4 linked regions of the Ovis aries genome follow. The protein of the gene in region 1 purifies or fractionates together with the protein of each later gene. This does not show direct contact. Links are inferred from orthologs where the notes say so. Each region holds a gene or a part of one and is shown on either strand. Other genes may lie near its edges.

Evidence for each region.
Region 2: the proteins of SNX9 (region 1) and SYNJ1 purify together in Homo sapiens (co-immunoprecipitation; 3 studies listed by BioGRID and IntAct, counting the BioPlex papers as one, with this or other methods). This does not show direct contact. The link is inferred for Ovis aries from reciprocal best matches to the Homo sapiens genes SNX9 and SYNJ1.
Region 3: the proteins of SNX9 (region 1) and DNM1 purify together in Homo sapiens (co-immunoprecipitation; 6 studies listed by BioGRID and IntAct, counting the BioPlex papers as one, with this or other methods). This does not show direct contact. The link is inferred for Ovis aries from reciprocal best matches to the Homo sapiens genes SNX9 and DNM1.
Region 4: the proteins of SNX9 (region 1) and DNM3 purify together in Homo sapiens (co-immunoprecipitation; 3 studies listed by BioGRID and IntAct, counting the BioPlex papers as one, with this or other methods). This does not show direct contact. The link is inferred for Ovis aries from reciprocal best matches to the Homo sapiens genes SNX9 and DNM3.

Annotation. Positions count from the first base shown.
Region 1 is NC_056061.1:82,167,909-82,171,966, forward strand, and holds the start of SNX9 (sorting nexin-9), read left to right. Parts: upstream 1-1,240; 5' UTR 1,241-1,288; coding exon 1,289-1,555; intron 1,556-4,058. UniProt on the Homo sapiens protein: Involved in endocytosis and intracellular vesicle trafficking, both during interphase and at the end of mitosis. Required for efficient progress through mitosis and cytokinesis. Required for normal formation of the cleavage furrow at the end of mitosis.
Region 2 is NC_056054.1:123,577,251-123,580,810, forward strand, and holds part of SYNJ1 (synaptojanin-1), read left to right. Parts: intron 1-1,871; coding exon 1,872-2,081; intron 2,082-3,242; coding exon 3,243-3,386; intron 3,387-3,560. UniProt on the Homo sapiens protein: Phosphatase that acts on various phosphoinositides, including phosphatidylinositol 4-phosphate, phosphatidylinositol (4,5)-bisphosphate and phosphatidylinositol (3,4,5)-trisphosphate. Has a role in clathrin-mediated endocytosis.
Region 3 is NC_056056.1:8,070,276-8,074,525, forward strand, and holds the start of DNM1 (dynamin-1), read right to left. Parts: upstream 2,820-4,250; 5' UTR 2,757-2,819; coding exon 2,596-2,756; intron 1-2,595. UniProt on the Homo sapiens protein: Catalyzes the hydrolysis of GTP and utilizes this energy to mediate vesicle scission and participates in many forms of endocytosis, such as clathrin-mediated endocytosis or synaptic vesicle endocytosis as well as rapid endocytosis (RE).
Region 4 is NC_056065.1:38,533,940-38,538,196, reverse strand, and holds the start of DNM3 (dynamin-3), read right to left. Parts: upstream 2,801-4,257; 5' UTR 2,631-2,800; coding exon 2,470-2,630; intron 1-2,469. UniProt on the Homo sapiens protein: Microtubule-associated force-producing protein involved in producing microtubule bundles and able to bind and hydrolyze GTP. Most probably involved in vesicular trafficking processes, in particular endocytosis.

The sequences.
Region 1 (4,058 bases):
CACTTGGGCCACCTGGGCTTCCCTGGTGGTTCAGGTGGTAAAGAATTTGCCAGCAATGCGGGAGACGTTGGTTCGATCCCTGGGTTGGGACGATTCCCTGGAGGAGGAAATGGCACCCTGCTCCAGTAAGGACAGAGGAGCCTGGTGGGATACAGTCCACGGGGTCCCAAAGAGTCGGACACGATTGAGCGACTAACAAACAGCATGATTGATAATAGCCGTAGCTCCCGAACTCAACAAACACAAAAATTCACCGAAAATGCTTTAGTACCATATCCATTTAAAACCTCTTTGTAGAAGGTAACCAGTTAAATTTCTGGAGATCAAATAGAATATTTTCGAGAGGACAAAATTTGACATTAATTGTACCGCTTTCCTCGCTTAAAGATGAATTTTGATAGTTGCCTCTTTTACGAGGTACATATCCCCGTGATAAAATAGAATGTACTGTAATAATATTTCCATCAAGAGATGTCTTTCAGTCACATCTTTCGTACTTGAGCGAAAATCTTGCTATTCAACTCATTCATGTATTATTGATAACAAAGGACACACATCCAACTCTGAAGAAAAATGGAAATTTTTAAGACTTCTAAAATTTCCATTTCGGGAAACCTGTTGGGTCTCCCCCTAACCTCCGGGGCCCGGAGGCGTTTTTTAAATTTATCAGGAGTCCAGAAGGAGGTTAACGGGACGCCTCAGAACGAAAGCCCCAAGCGTCGGGGCCCTGAAGCTCCGGGCCGGGGACCACAGCCCGCGGGCAACTCCAGGCGGGCGGCGGGTCTTCCGCGAAGGGCCAGCGGACCTGGAAGCCATTGCTGCGCTCCGTGCCGGCTGCGTTCTCCACACTCATTTCACTCAGCCCCGAGCACGACCGGCCCCACAGCCATGCCGACGCGGGACAAAGACCCCGTCCGCGACTCGAGCCCGTCGTGCTGGGGGGCCCCGTTGTATCTCCACAGCGAAACACTTCAGTCGCGGTGACCGGCTGAAGGGCCGCTCGGGACTCGGCTCCCCGGCAGGCGCTCCCTCATAAGCGTGTCCCTCACTCCCGTCCACCGTCCCCACGGCGGGGCAGCCAGGCGGGACGCGGTCGGTGGGGGGACCATGATCCGGCCCGACCCCGGCCGCCGCTCGGGGGACGCGGCCCCGAGCCCTGCGACAAAGGGCGCCGGCGGCGCGGCCCGAGGCGGAGGCTCCGGGCGGGGGCGGAAAGTGGGAGAGGAGGCCGGGCCGGCCCAGGGCACCGGGCGCGCTTCCGCCGGCCGCGCCGCGCACGCCGCGGTAGATGGGAGGCTCGGCCGGCGGGGGCGGGGGCCGCGCAGCCGGGGAGTTTCAGGAACTGGAGGAGCGGGGCGGCGGCTGGAGTCGCCCAGAGCCGAGACTCGGGGCCGGGGCGGAGCCGCCGCCGCGCCGGGGCCCAGCCGTAGCTGCCGCCGCCGCCGCCGCCCTCGCTTTCGTCCGGCCGCCTGGGGCCGATAGCCGCGGCGCGGGAGAGGAGCCGACCGTCCCGGGCCGAGGGCGGGGGGGAGATCCGCCCGCCATGGCCACCAAGGTGAGGGGAGCGCGGCCCGGGCCCCGGGCCGGCCGCTCGGCCCTGCGGCGGCGCGGGGGAGGGTCGCGGCCGGGGGCGGGGGCGCGGGCGGCGGCGCCGCCGGGGAGGCCGAGGGGTCGCGCCGGGGCCCACCCAGCTCGGGCCGGGCTCGGGGCACGCAGGGCGGACGAGGGGCCGGGGCCGGGGCGCTCGGGGTCTCGGCTGGGGGGCGCGGGGCGGGACCCCGGCCGCTCGCGGCGCCGTCTGCAAAGTTTGCGCCTGAGCGTGTGGGCCGCGGCCGGGCACGGAGGGAGGGAAAGTTCCCGCAGCTGCCCGGCGCCCGCCCTGAGGAGCTGCCCGCCCGCCGGGAGCCCCCGACTCGGTCCCGAGTGGAGTCCACTCTCCGCCGCTCCGCGCGTCCGGCCGCCGCCGCCGCGGGAGCCGCGTTCTCTCCTCCCTCCGCAGAGGGTGGGACCCCCCGGCGCCGCGGGCAGCTTTCGGGGGTCCGACCCGCGCCCGGCCGGACTGGGAATTTAAAATGCAGGCCGGAGAGTCAAGGCTCCTGAGGAGGGAAAAAAACCCCAGTGAAACGTCCCGCGCGCTTCCACTTCCCTCAATTTTCTTGTGTTGTGTTTTTTTTTTTTTCCTCTTTTGTTTTGCTACCTTTTCGATTTGAATGTTATTTCCAGCATGAATAAAATACCAAGAGGGAAATGACTCTGCTTTCAATTACGTTGTTTGCTTTAAAAAAAAAAAAAAAAAAGGTCCAGGCCCAAATTACGTGGTGGAACTTTGAGTCGCGCTTAGTTAATTGGCCAGGAGCGGTGGTTTGCTTATTTTACAGTATTGTCGGCGAAATTAGCGTTCACCCTTCGCTACCTTCCTCCCCCAGCTCCTTGGGGCTGGGGCGTTTAGTTCTCGACGGCCACTGACTAGGGAAAGCCACGCTCCCCTCCAGGAGCCAGGGGTGGGGTTTGAGTTGACTTTCTTTTTGATTTTGGAAGTAGTTTTAGTAATGCCCCTTTTATTAACATCAGAACCCTCTACCGTGTTTATTTTTTAAACCTCACTTCTTGGGTTGGTGAAAGCCTTAGATTTGTTGCTGTTGGGTTTTTGGTTTTGGTAGAGAGAGAAAACTTAGAAAACTGGTAAGTTTAAAACCCCTTTCGAAGATCATATTGATATTTCAGCCTGTGAAATTTTGTGTTCTGTTTCTGTCTAGGTGCAGTGTGTTTTTTGCCTTTTTTTTTTTTTTTTTTTTTTGATGGAGATTCTTATCCGGGGAACCTGTTGCCTGCTGTTACTGAAATAATTGTGAAGTGAAGTTGCTCAGTCGTGTCCGACTCTTTGCGACCCCATGGACTATAGCCTACCAGGTTCCACCGTCCATGGGATTTTCCAGGCAAGAATACTGGAGTGGGTTGCCATTTCCTTCTCCAGGAGATCTTCCCAACCCAGGGATTGAACCTGGGTCTAAGGCATTGTAGGCAGACACTTTACCGTCTGAGCCACCAGGGAAGTGGTACTGAAATAATTACTTTCTTGTTATTATTGGCTAAGCTCTATCTTCCCTGGTGGGCTCAGCTGGTAAAGAATCCGCCTGCAGTGCGGAGGAACTGGGTTCGATCCCTGGGTCGGGAAGATCCCTGGAGAAGGGAAAGATTACCCACTCCAATATTCTGGCCTGGAAAATCCCATGGACGGTGGAACCTGGTAGGCTGCAGTCCATGGAGTTGCAAAGAGCTGGACACGACTGAGAGACTTTAAATTCACTTGAGACTCTGTCTTGGTTTTCTTAGATGTGATAGAACTTTGCTACCTTTTTAACATGTATCATTTCATGTTGATCTTTTTAGAAACAAAACTTTAGATCAAATATTTCTAAGGAAATTTGACTTTGAGGTTTGTTGCCAAACATTTAAATTACCAATTACACGTCGTATTTTGCACTCATCTTACAACCTTGAAAGCTGTTTATGGTAGATAGCTATTCCTTTGATGGTCAGCGTTTGATACTTTGCACCCTGATCTACTGGCCCATGTTAGACTGTCCATTCAGTGGGACTCAGCTTAGCAACTAGTGCTGGTATATATAACGAAAATTTTATCTGATACTTAAACCTGAACTTGTATGCTCAGTTGCGTCCTGCTCTTTGCAACCCCAGGACTGTAGCCCATCAGACTCCTCTGACCATGGAATTTTCCAGGCAAGAATACTGGAGTGGGTGTTTTTCCATAAAATTAGAAAGAATAGTTTTTGTACTAAACTTGAATTGTGTTTATCCACACTAAGCACAAGCCTTAAAGCATGGATAAACACTTCCTACTTTATTGTCTTCTCCACAGAAGGCAGGTAACAGTCATTCTTTCACCTTTCTAATCACTATTCCACATGGTACTCCTTTCCATGTTTACATTGTGACAAGCCACTTCTGGTTTCAAAAACAAAGGAGAAGCACTTACATAGGAGTCTTCCTCAGTTTTCCCACTTCCTGGTGATTCTTACATCAAACCGAAGTTTCAT
Region 2 (3,560 bases), on another chromosome or scaffold:
AGACACTTGAGGAGCTTAATCCTGATGGAAAGGGCTGATGCTGCTGGGGAGGGGCAGGGCAACCAGTGGTGGGCAGAACCCCACCCTTTCCACCCGTAGATATGGTTAGGCTACAGCTGGGGGACAGGTTGTTGAAGAGAGGGGTTCCCACCTTAGGACTTCCCTTTTCTCTGTGAAGTTTAAGGAGGCGGGCAGCACACGGCTTTAGGAGGGTTGAGAAGGTTCAAGACAAAGCTCCTGGGAAGCAGTCAGATGGGGAGCCAGCCAGGAAACTGTGGGTTGGCCAGGAGGCCATGGGAGCCCAGATGAGGCTGAAACCACAGAGTTAACACAGCTGCAGTCCTCAGGACCACACGGTTGTCTGTCTGCAGCACCCAGCAGCCTGTCTGCAGTCATGGAGAGATTAGACTGCAGAATTGACGCAGGGGCGATGGAAGAATAGTGCAGGAGGGGACTGGCCGCAGCAAGGAACCAGAGGATGTGAAGACAGCTGCAAGGAGACCTGCAAAATCCAGTAGGGGCTCAAAGAAGAGGGATCGAAGGCCTGGGTCCTGGTGAAGTCAGAAGTGGGGAAAGAGTAGCCAAGGGAAAGACTGAGAGGCTGGAAGGCGGTCAGATGGAAGTGTTTGAGTTTATTGCTTCAGAGGCACTGCGGTTCCAAGGGGCATGAGTGTGGAGTAGAGGAGCACGCCAGCAGGGTGAAGCGTCAGGTTGGTGGGTTATCCACAGAGGCTTCGGTGTCACCCAGAAAGATGGCGGGGCCCAGCTTACCATCTCGCTCTCTCCTTGGTCCTCAGTGAATGGGTTCTAGTGACCAAAAGGGTGGAGGTGGGAGATTATGGCGGCAAACGGGTTGAGGGTGTTACACAAATTCTGGAAGGCACAGCCTCCAGAAATAAAGAGGCCTTTTCAGGGTTGGAAGATTAAAGTTTTGGAATTGGAGTCAGGTGGCATGGGGCTCCCTGACGCCACTTCCCGACCCTGTGGAAAACGGAGGTGAGGAGACCTCGGGAAGAACCAACTCCCGCCTGTTAAATTAAAGCAGAGGGTTACACGCCCAGGGCACCAAGTAGTGAGGAGTCTTCCAGGGGAAGGGTGTAGTGTATGACTGTGTCTGCCGTGAGGGGCGGTTCCATAGACTAGCAGGCAGGTTTGAAGGGAGGGCAGTGAGCGTCCGACTCAGCCAGCACTGAGAGTGCTGCTCAGAGCGCCTTGACAGCTGTGGAGTCAACCCAGCCCCAGATGTTAGCCGCCACTGGGCCTCCTGTTGCTCTGAGATGAGACTTAAAAAAAAATTATTACTATTAAATGTGTTTATTTTAATGGAAAGATAATTGCTTGATAGTATTGTGCTGGTTTCTGCCAGTATCGGCATTAAGCAGCCATAGGTATTACTGTGTCCCCTGTGACTGTCTTTTTTTAAGTAATCTAATTAGTTAGTGGCTGTGCTGGGTCTTGGTTGCTACGGACAGGCTTTCTCTAGCTGTGGTGAGCAGGGGCTACTCTCTCTGTGGTTCACAGGCTTCAGTATTTGTGGCATGGGCAATCTTCCCAGACCAGGGATTGAACCCATGTCCATCTGCATTGGCAGACAGATTCTTCACCACGGGACCACCCGGGAAGCCCAGGGGGCTATCTTTAATTACTTTTTCTACGGTACGAGAGCATTTGCACTAATTCTAGTTGTATACATATAACCTCTTTATATATACCCACATGCTTAACTTAGACATGTTTGCAGTATCATCATGTTAAGGTGTTTATTTTATATATTTAACCCCTTAAGCCTAGACTGGGGCGGGGGGCGGGCGGGGAGAAATCTCTGAGAAAGTTAACGTGCTGGTAAGGTGGCCAACCTTGCGTTTTCTCAGGTGATGTGGATGACTATAGTGCTGAGGTAGAGGAGATCCTTCCTCAGCATCTCCAGCCATCTTCCAGTTCTGGCCTTGGCACGTCCCCCGGTTCTTCACCCCGGACCAGTCCCTGCCAGTCACCTACCATATCGGAGGGGCCTGTGCCTTCCCTCCCAGTGAGACCAAGTCGAGCTCCGTCCAGAACACCCGGGCCCCCCGCTTCACAAAGTATGTGTTTTATTTCAAGTTTTGTATGACTTCCCAGGCTGATATGTTTGATTTTAGATGGTTAAACCTCTGATGCCTTCAGATCTCCTTTGTAGAGCTATTTTTGCTTAACTTTCACATCCATAGGCTAAAATTTAGCATGTTTTCTGTGCCTGCAAAAGAAGAAACTTTGTAGATGGTTCCGCCCTAAGTGAAGAGGAAGCTTGTTGCTATCACTAGATGAGAACTTCACTTCATCCTTTTTCTATGTGGCAGCTTTGTCCATGGCTTATCACTGATGATTTTTAAGCATTATGGTCAGAACCCATAACTCTTTGGGCTTAACTATCTGTACATTACCTGCTTTATAATAGGAAGCAGAAAGAGACAAAACAAGTATTTTGAATTCAACTTGATAGTCATGACTCCTCCAAAGTCAGAAGGTTTTTCTCTGTAAGTTGTTACACCACACAGTTCAGTCACTGTTCCACACTAACCAGTATCCTTGAAAAATACCTTTTATTTCAGCAGTTTCTTGAGCTCCCCCATGCTACTCTTAGGGGACCATTGTTAAATAGTCACTGAGTCATATCTGACTATTTTGCGACCCCATGGATTGTAGCCTGCCAAGCTCCTCTGTCCATGGGATTTCCCAGGCAAGAATATGGGAGTGGGTTGCCATTTCCTTCTCCAGGAAATCTTCCTGATTCAGGGATCAAACTTGCATCTCCTGCATTGGCGGGTGGATTCTTTACCACTGAGCCACGAGGGAAGCCCTCTGAGGATGGGCTTCCTTCAGTAAATTCAGGATAAGTCAAGACATAGAAAGAAGAGGCTCCCTTTGCTTTTTCTTCTCCTGGCCAGCAGATTGGATTGCAAATGACCTAACTCACACGATACTTCATGCCATCTTGTTAGGGCCACTCAGTAAATCCCCTTTCAGTACCCGGGGCCTGGATAAGAAGTCCAGAGAGTAACCTGATTGCTCCCATAGTACCACAGGGTAAGGTAATAGTGTAAGGTAATAGCACAGCTGCTTGTGTTATTGATACTAAAAATGTGTGTCATTCCTCTATAGTACAAATTATTTTGCTAAATAATTTATCATACACCTATAGAAAGTACCTGTGTGCTCATCCCTTGGAACCTGATCCTTTTACCTAAGGTACTTTTTTCTGGTAGGTTCTCCTGTTGACACTCTGCCAGCAACACAGCTGCAGCAGAAAGATTCTTCCCAGACCCTGGAACCCAAGCGGCCTCCCCCTCCCCGCCCGGTTGCTCCTCCTGCACGTCCAGCTCCCCCACAACGACCGCCTCCGCCTTCAGGTGACAAATCCTTGTATTTCCATCTCTGCTGGATTTCACCTCTCTGCTGAAAAATGTTTTGCATGTTTTTGAAATGCTCGCTTTTAGATTTTATCAGTTTTCTGTCACTGGTGCTGCTTCCTTAGTTGGCTTTTCTCTAAAAAAACGGCATAGGCGTGACAGAACAGCTAGATT
Region 3 (4,250 bases), on another chromosome or scaffold:
ACTCCAGTCCTGGCCTCCTCACTAGCTTTCATGAGAATCAACTAATGCATCCCTGTGCACGCCACTGTACGCCAGGCCTCTACTCTGCCCCAGACCTGCGCCTGGACACCCTGTGTATCCTCCTGCGAAACTGCAGTCAAAGGCTATTGGATTGTGGAGGGCAGCGAGAGGGTCCAAGCCTCTGGGGGCAGAGTCTGAATCTCACTCGACCCCTCGACAAGCTAACAGTTACGGAAGTCAGCTGTGGCCAGGCTGGCCTGCTGTGCGGTCCACCCCCGGCACCTCTCTCGGCTGGATGGTGGACTCCGAGATGGCAGCAGCTAGGTCTCCTGGCCCACACAGGCCCCAAACCTAACTGAACATTGATACCTCCCTTCCACAAGTCTATAAAAGGGGGCTTTTATACTTGTGAACTTGCTGGAGCCCCACACCCATGTCTCAGGAAGGCAGGGTGGCAGCTGGCATTGGGCCCATTCCTCAGATGGGGAAAGTGGGGGTCCATACACTTGGGTGTTCCTGTGTTCAGTGCTGAGCTGGACTCTTAGAGGTGGTGTGGGCCCCAGATTGGAGCCTGACGGGCACGGTCCTTCTTGGCCCTGTGACCTTGGACAGGGCCTCTAACCTCAGCGTCTGCTTCCTCCCCTGCAGGGTGGTCATCACAGTACCCGCCTCACGGGGCTCTTGTGATCTGTCCCATATAGCCTGGCAGGGGGCACAGGGGAAGGGCCTGGCAGACAGTGGCTGAGGTCAGCTGCTCCCTTGTGCCCCCTGCCCAGAGCACGCAGCAGGCACAGAGCATGCATGAGCAGAGGGGGGAGAGGCAGGCCTGTGGTTTGTACCCTGAAAAGTACAGGATGTCCACGACTGTCATCTAAAGCATGAGGGCCTCAGGGGCTGTATTGCCTCCAGGGTCCTCCCAGCCCCCTCGCGGTGACTGTTGAGCCATAGGGACACGGACCATCTCTGTGTCTCTTGTCTGTGTCTCTGCAGCTCTGGGGGAAGGTGGGGTCACATGAGCAGGAAAGGGGTTCTCTGGAAGCCCTTCCCCGGGAGACAGATGGCGTCCCCCCTGCTGATCAGATGGGCCCGGCTGCCCCCACAGTGGCTCTCCCGCGTCCCACAGATACATCGATCTGTGCAGTATCCTTTTCTCTCACCCCTGAGGCTGACACTGGGCCTTCCCAGGTCATTTGAGGGGCGGGGATGACCGTCCAGTCTAATCGCCCATATTAGAGATGGGGAAACTGAGGCTCAGAGAGGGCAGTGACTCGCTGGAGGTTTCACAGCAGAACCTGGTTTGGGACCCAGGATGTCTCAGCCCAGAACTGCCATCCCTGGGATGAGGGGAGGAGAAAGCCCTCTCTGCCTGCCTCCCTCTCTGGCACAGGTCATCCGCCTCTTTACCCATGAAGGTCATTGGAGGAAAGCTAGGGTTTCTGAAGGAGGGTAGGAAGGTAGATGACAGAATGGGGAGGTCAGCGTCAATTCTCTTGCCTCCTCCCTCAGTCTGCCCAGCACGCTCCCTCCGCCTCCAGCTCCCCGGGAAGAGCGCCGGCCTCTCTCTCCTTCTCAGCCCCCGGAAAGCCCATCTCTGTCTCCCCTTCTTGGGGAGAGCCTGGGGGGTGGTCACGACCCTGCCTGCCTCCCTAACCCCAGGGCTCTTTGTCTTGGTGGTTGCCCCTGACTCCTTGCCACCTGGCCCTCCCGGCGCCTTGTGGGATCCGAGGCAGGAGGGGGATTAGGTCGTGCAAATGGCTCCCCCCACCCCTCCCCGCCAGCCCGCCTCCCTCCCTGTCTTAGTCATCTCTGTCCTCCACCGCCTTCTCCCTCCATTCCAATCCCTCTGCCAGGCCAAGGGGAGGACGACACTGACAGGCGCCCCCCCCCCCCCCCCACCCAGGGGCGGCGGCAGGGCAAGGGGCCGGCGGCTTGGGGAAGGCTCAGAGGCGCTCGCTCCCCCCACCCCCTCTTCCTCATCCTGCAGTCGCGCCTCCCCCCTCTTCCGCGCTGCTCACGGATGGCGGCCGGAGCCGCAGAGGTGTGTGTGACGGGGGAGACTGTATCTGGTCCCCGATGCTCAAGGGTCTATGTCCTCTCCCAGGGGCGACGGGAGGGGTGACCCCCCACCGCAGTCCAGGAATCCCCATGAGAGGAGGGGGAGCTGTCCATAGAGCCTGGGGGCATGGGCCCAGGGGTGCTGCCCGCTTCAAGAGACCCCCTCAGAACCGAGGGGAGTCATGTAGGCCCCTCGGTACCCATGGGGGGGGGTAGGGGTGGGGGAACAGCCCTTTGCCCGAGTCTGCTGTCTTCCTAAAGGATGGAGCGGAGGAGGGGGGCGTGAGCCCTCGGCCGCAGGCTTGACGTCTGCGGCCCAGCGGGGATGAGGAGGGTGGAGGGCGCTGCGCCCCCGAAGGGCTCTCGTCGCGGGGGAGGGCCGCCTCCTCCTTCTGGCTGGAGGTGGGGGCGGGGGGGTGGCGCGCTGTCCGCCGTGCAGCGCCAGGGGCTACGAGGTCCCGGCGCCGTCGGGGCCGGGTCCCGAGACCCGGAGGACCCGGGCGCGGGGAGTCCGCGTCCCAGGGGCGCGCCACTTCCTACCTGCCTACGAAATTCTCGAGCACCGAGCTCTTGCCGGCGCTCTGGCCGCCCACCACGGCGATCTGCGGCAGGTCGAGATCCGCGTTCTGGCCGATGGCGGAGAAGGCATCCTGCAGCCGGTTGACCAGCGGGATGAGATCCTCCATGCCACGGTTGCCCATGGCTGCGGCTGGCTCAGCAGGCTGCGATCCGGCCGCCGCTTGGGCTCCCGGCTTCGGCTCCGCGGATGCAGCGGCGCGCTCCGACGCTTTTCTGCGCCGCGGGTCCCCCCGCCCCTCGGGGATCGGAGCGCCGCGCTGCGCCGGGATGCCGCGAGGGGGCGCCCGCTGCGCCGCGGGTCGGCAGCTGTGCGCAGGCGCCGCCCGTAGCACTATGGGGACTGTAGTTTTCAACTTCTGCGGCTTTTGGGGACGCTTGAGCCGTGTCTGGGGGAGGCACAGATGCTGCACCGCACGTTATCTTTCCAGGAAACGGGCAAAGTCTCCTAGGTACTAGGTGCCCTTAGTACCAGACCCCTTGGAGAGTAGTCGTGGCTGCCTCACTCCCTCTTACAGACGGGGAAACTGAGGCTTGGAGGCACGGCCTCCTTCCAAGGTCATAGTCTTCTGACCTTCAGTTTCACTTGGCTTCACTGCCTTCTACTTTGGGTTGTAACACTAATTTTATCTCCGGCATTTCCCTTCCCGCCTTTGGGCCTCAATCTCCCTGTTTCTAGAAGGAAAAGATATAGAGCATTAATTTAACAAATATTTACTGAACACGTACTGTAAGCCATACCCTGTTCTAGGCGCTGGAGATATAGCAGTAAACAAGACAGACCAGGTCTCTACCCTCATAGATCTTACAGTGGAGACAGACAGTAAATGAATAAACAGATAAATGAAACAGTACAAGTGAAGATAGTGTACACTAATAGTGATGCGAGAAATCAGCACAGCATATGAAGAGTTCTCTTTAGCCTGGCAGGTTGGGAGGGTTCTCTGTGGAGGTGACAGTTGAGAAGAGACCTGAATGGTGAGAAGCAGCTGCTGCTGCTGCTGCTAAGTCGCTTCAGTTGTGTCCAACTCTGTGCGACCCCATAGGTGGCAGCCCACCAGGCTCCGCTGTCCCTGGGATTCTCCAGGCAAGAACACTGGAGTGGGTTGCCATTTCCTTCTCTAATGCATGAAAGTGAAAAGTGAAAGTGAAGTCGCTCAGTCGTGTCTGACTCTTCGAGACCCCGTGGACTGCAGCCTACCAGGCTCCTCTGTCCATGGGATTTTCCAGGCAAGAGTACTAGAGTGGGTTGCCATTGCCTTCTCCGAGGAGCAGCTAGCCAGGCCAAATGAACAGCAGGTACAAAGGCTCTGACACTTGGAAGGGCCTTCTTGGGACAGTTGGAACGTCTTGTCCTGGTAAGTGAAGTGTTCTCCCCAAACCATCAGGGTGGTGGTAAAACAGTAGGGCTCGAATCCACGACTCTTGAAACCCTACCCTATTAATTTTTTTCACATAGAAAGACCGGGGGGCCCCAAGCCAAGTTTTCCACCTCTGCATTTAAGGAACCTAACTGGGACTCCCCACAAGGAGACTAGGGAAGAGAGAACAGAGAACAGAGAGAGAACCCTGGAGAACAGAGGAGCCTAGAGAGCTACAGTCCATGAGGTTGCAAAGAG
Region 4 (4,257 bases), on another chromosome or scaffold:
ATCTTTATTGAAAATTTTCTGGATAATAAAAAGATAAAAGGTTACAGTTTAATATGAGCAGTTTTTTCCACTTAGAATGAATCTCCTAACAAAATACAGAACTCCTTTTTCCCTAAGGTTTATAATTAGAAATTAGATTCCTCAATAATTCAATGACTGAAACCTTTACTAAAATCAAATTACTTTTTTAATTAAATTTTCACCTAATATATAAGTTCTGCTGGCAGGTGTCATCTCTACAGATAATAAAGCCTTGCTATATTTATTAAATCAGTTTTTTCCTTTATGCCCATCCTTTCCTTTGACTTGACATTCTTATAGTATTTAATTATTGGTAAATTAAATTACCAATATATTACTAACGTATTCTGATAAATATGCTGGTATACATACTATTTACAATGTCCCTATTTTTTATTCTATCATAAAGAGTATTCAAGCTAAAATATTTTACTCTTTCAGATTTTTAAAATTCTCATATGGAAAGAGGATAGCTAGTGAGGAAAGATATTTACAATTTTATTACAGCATCAGTGACTATGTTCAGGATTGGAAAATCTGAAGAACAGAATCAAGATATGTGGATAAAATCAACATTAAGTTCAAAAGTTCTTGCCACAAAAAGCGCATTTATAAGGCAAATTCATCCAACTAAATATATGAAAGATGCATAAAATATGGTCATTGCATTTGAATTACTTACAATTTTAATCTTTAAGTATTTGTTTAAAAAGCAAAAGTAGTTAAATGATTATTAAGGCTTCCTGTTAAATGCTCTGGAGTTTATAAATCCCAAAAAAAACCTCACCAAACCTCACTTTCACTATAGATACCACTTTAAATTTACTGAATTTCATTGACAATAAATCAAAGAAAGTAAAACCCTTATGTATGTGACTATTTTGTGTACACATTTGAAATCACATATTCATCCGTCACTAGACCATAAGTCTATGATGACGTAGGCAAAATGCTTTACCATCACTTTTCTCACCACTAAAATTAATGATAAAACTGAGAAAAGTGATTAAGTGACTTAGTCAAAGATAACAGCCAACTGTCAGCAATCTTACTTTTTTAAAAACTAGGTTTCTTAGCTTTCTAGTTCATCAGGAAGGGGAAAAAAAATCCTTAAGAGTATCATCTGAGAGAAAAGAATATACACTTTATGGATACTACCATTCCCAAAGATGTGGGAATATCTAAATTTTACACAAACACTAACAAAAAAGAAAAGAAAAGCCAAAAAAACAAACAAACCACGAACCTTCTGAATTCAAAATCACTAACCAGTCAAACAGAAAGAGTCAAGTACAGTCTCTGTATTGTACCATCGCTGGCCCCCTCCATCAGCTATTGTACATTTCTACCTAGTTTATTACTAGGAAACAGATTTCAGTTTTCATAATGCTTTCCAATGGGCTTTTCTTAGCAAATGTCTGCACTCCTCAGGCAAGGCCGTTAAGGTAACTTAATCTCTCATGCACTGCTCAATCGGGTGGGGGGGGCGGGGAATGCTGATTCCCAATTTAAAAATGAATTATTTGGGTTTTTCAGAATTAAAAGTAACTACGAAACCTGGAACCATAATTTCAATTCAGCTGTTAACTTGAAGGTTCGCAGGACAAATAAAAGCTTATGGAATCGAAGATGATGCTGGGGAAGGGGGTGCAGAGAGAGTATGAGAAAGATGCTGGTCCATTCCGAGATGATGCAGGAATGACATGGCACCTGGACAACACAAGTCGCAGTTCACCCCCCTCTCAGAGTCTCTGCCTCGGTTTCTCTCTATGCCTGGAGCTGTGAGTAGGTGCACACGCAAACGCAATCACCTTTTACTGTTGGACTCCTTAGTGAGGAGAACTGTGGGGAAGCGTCGTGGGTTAAAGCCTCACCACAACAAACGATTTCTTTCTCCTCGAACCCCGCCTCCCCTGCTAGGGGCAGGCGACGACTGTCTCGAACAGTAGACAGCTGACAGGAGCCGAGAACCAGGGCAAGAAGGAAAGCATCTCCAAGGGGGGGAGGGGCAGGGAAATGAACCCCACAGCCTCGCGGAGAGCCTGGGGAGGCTGACAGGAAAAGGAGGAGGATATTGAGCCGGGAAAACAGAAAGGGGACTGGGAAGCTCCCGGGAGAGCTACGCATTCAGGCTGTCCCCGGGGCTGGCGCGCAACGGGCGGGAGGGGGAAGTCATCCTGGGGCGGACCCCCTCCCCGACTCCCAGACCGGAGGACGGGGAGGAAATGGCTTTGTATCGCAGGATGAAAGGCAGACAGGAGGGCCACCAGGCGGGGAGGGACAGAGGATGCCCGGAGCCGGGACGACCCCGCCCGCCGTCACGGACACTGCCGCTCTTCCCTCCCATCCGCTGCAGCCCCTGGTCCAGCCTCCGGCTCCTGCCCTCGACACTCCAGCAGCCTGAAGTGGGGTCGCCCCCGCCTCCTACCCTCCCCCTCGCGTGCTCACCTGCCCACGAAGTTCTCGAGCACCGAGCTCTTGCCGGCGCTCTGGCCGCCCACCACGGCGATCTGAGGCAGCTCCAGCAGGCAGCTCTGTCCCAGGGCGGAGAAGGCATCCTGCAGACGGTTCACCAGAGGGATGAGCTCCTCCATCTCCCGATTCCCCATTGTGCCTGCCCCGCCAGATGCCCGCTAGTCCCTGCTAGTCTCTGCGACCTGGCAGGGAGCCGGGGCCGCGCCACCCTCGCCGCCGCTGCTGCGCTGGGTTTAGTCAGCCGGGTACAGCCAGACGTCGGATCCCGCCACGGTCCGGCCTCTAGTGCGCTCCTGACAGCAACGGCCCCGAAGCGCGCCTGCGCAGGCGAGTGGGGGCGTGGCCTGATTCCGCGACCGCCCCGCCCTCGCCGGGATGGGCGGCTGCTGTGCCCCAGGCTTCGGCAGACCTCCCCGCCCAGCGCGCACGCACTGCCTCCCAGCTGCGCCCAGATGCCACCGCCTCTGTCGTCTGGTGCCAACAGCACTCGGTCAGGGAATGGCATGAAATAGCAGCACCAGCCGACAGCACTGTTCCCTTTCAGTAGCTACTGTAAGCGAAAGTCCAGTGGAAAGCACTCCGCCGGTAACAGCTCAACACTGTCGCCAGCGGCGGCGGCAGCAGCTCAGATGCCACCACCAGTGCAATGCCTCCAGAGTGCACCTCCCAAAAGGAAATCTCTTGTTCTCACGGCCCACTCCAGAACCTGGGCTTTTCTTGGGGTGGCCGGCCTTTTGGAGTCTAAATTCTTCGATCTGTCATCCGTTTCAGGCCCTGCGTATTCTGACCCTACCTAATGATACAACTTGAACCGCTGGGTTCTGCTGGCCCTGCAGAAGCAAAGGTAGAGTCCACTGTGCTTACCCAGCACCACTCGCCCTCTTCAGTCTACCAAGTTCATTCTGTCTTTTGTGACTCTTCATTCCATTTCTCCTCCTAATCTACCTCCTATGGTCTCTATCAATAACCATGTATTCTGCTCCCATTCTCTTAAATTTAGCGAACTAAGTGACTGCATTGGATCCTGTGCTTTGTGTTGGGGGACACAGAGGGATAAATGGTCATGCTTCTCTCAGCCTCCTTGGACAGATCCTCATTTCAAATACTCATACTACTCAGGATTTAATTCATGAACGTTTTAGTCTACCTGAAGACTTCCCCATGGCAATAACTACACATAATGCTCAGTTCAGTCTCTCAGTCATGTCCCACTCTTTGCAACTCCATGAATTGCAGCATGCCAGGCCTCCCTGTCCATCACCAACTCCAGCAGTTTACCCAAAATCATGTCCATCGAGTCAATGATGTATTCCAGCCATGTCATCCTCTGTCATCCCCTTCTCCTTCTGCCCCTAATCCCTCCCAGCATCAAAGTCTTTTCCAGTGAGTCAACTCTTCTCATGAGGTGGCCAAAGTATTGGAGTTTCAGCTTCAGCATCAGTCCTTCCAATGAACACCCAGGACTGGTCTCCTTTGGGATGGACTGGTTGGATTTCCTTGCAGTCCAAGGGACTCTCAAGAGTCTTCTCCAACACCACAGTTCAAAAGCATCAATTCTTCAGTGCTCAGCTTCTTCACAGTCTAACTCTCACATCCATACGTGACCACTGGAAAAACCACAGCTTTGACAGCACAGACCTTTGTTGGCAAAGTAATGTCTCTTCTTTTTAATATGCTGTCTAGGTTGGTTATAACTTTGCTTCCAAGGAGTAAACATCTTTTAATTTCATGGCTGCAATCACCATCTACAGTGATATTGGA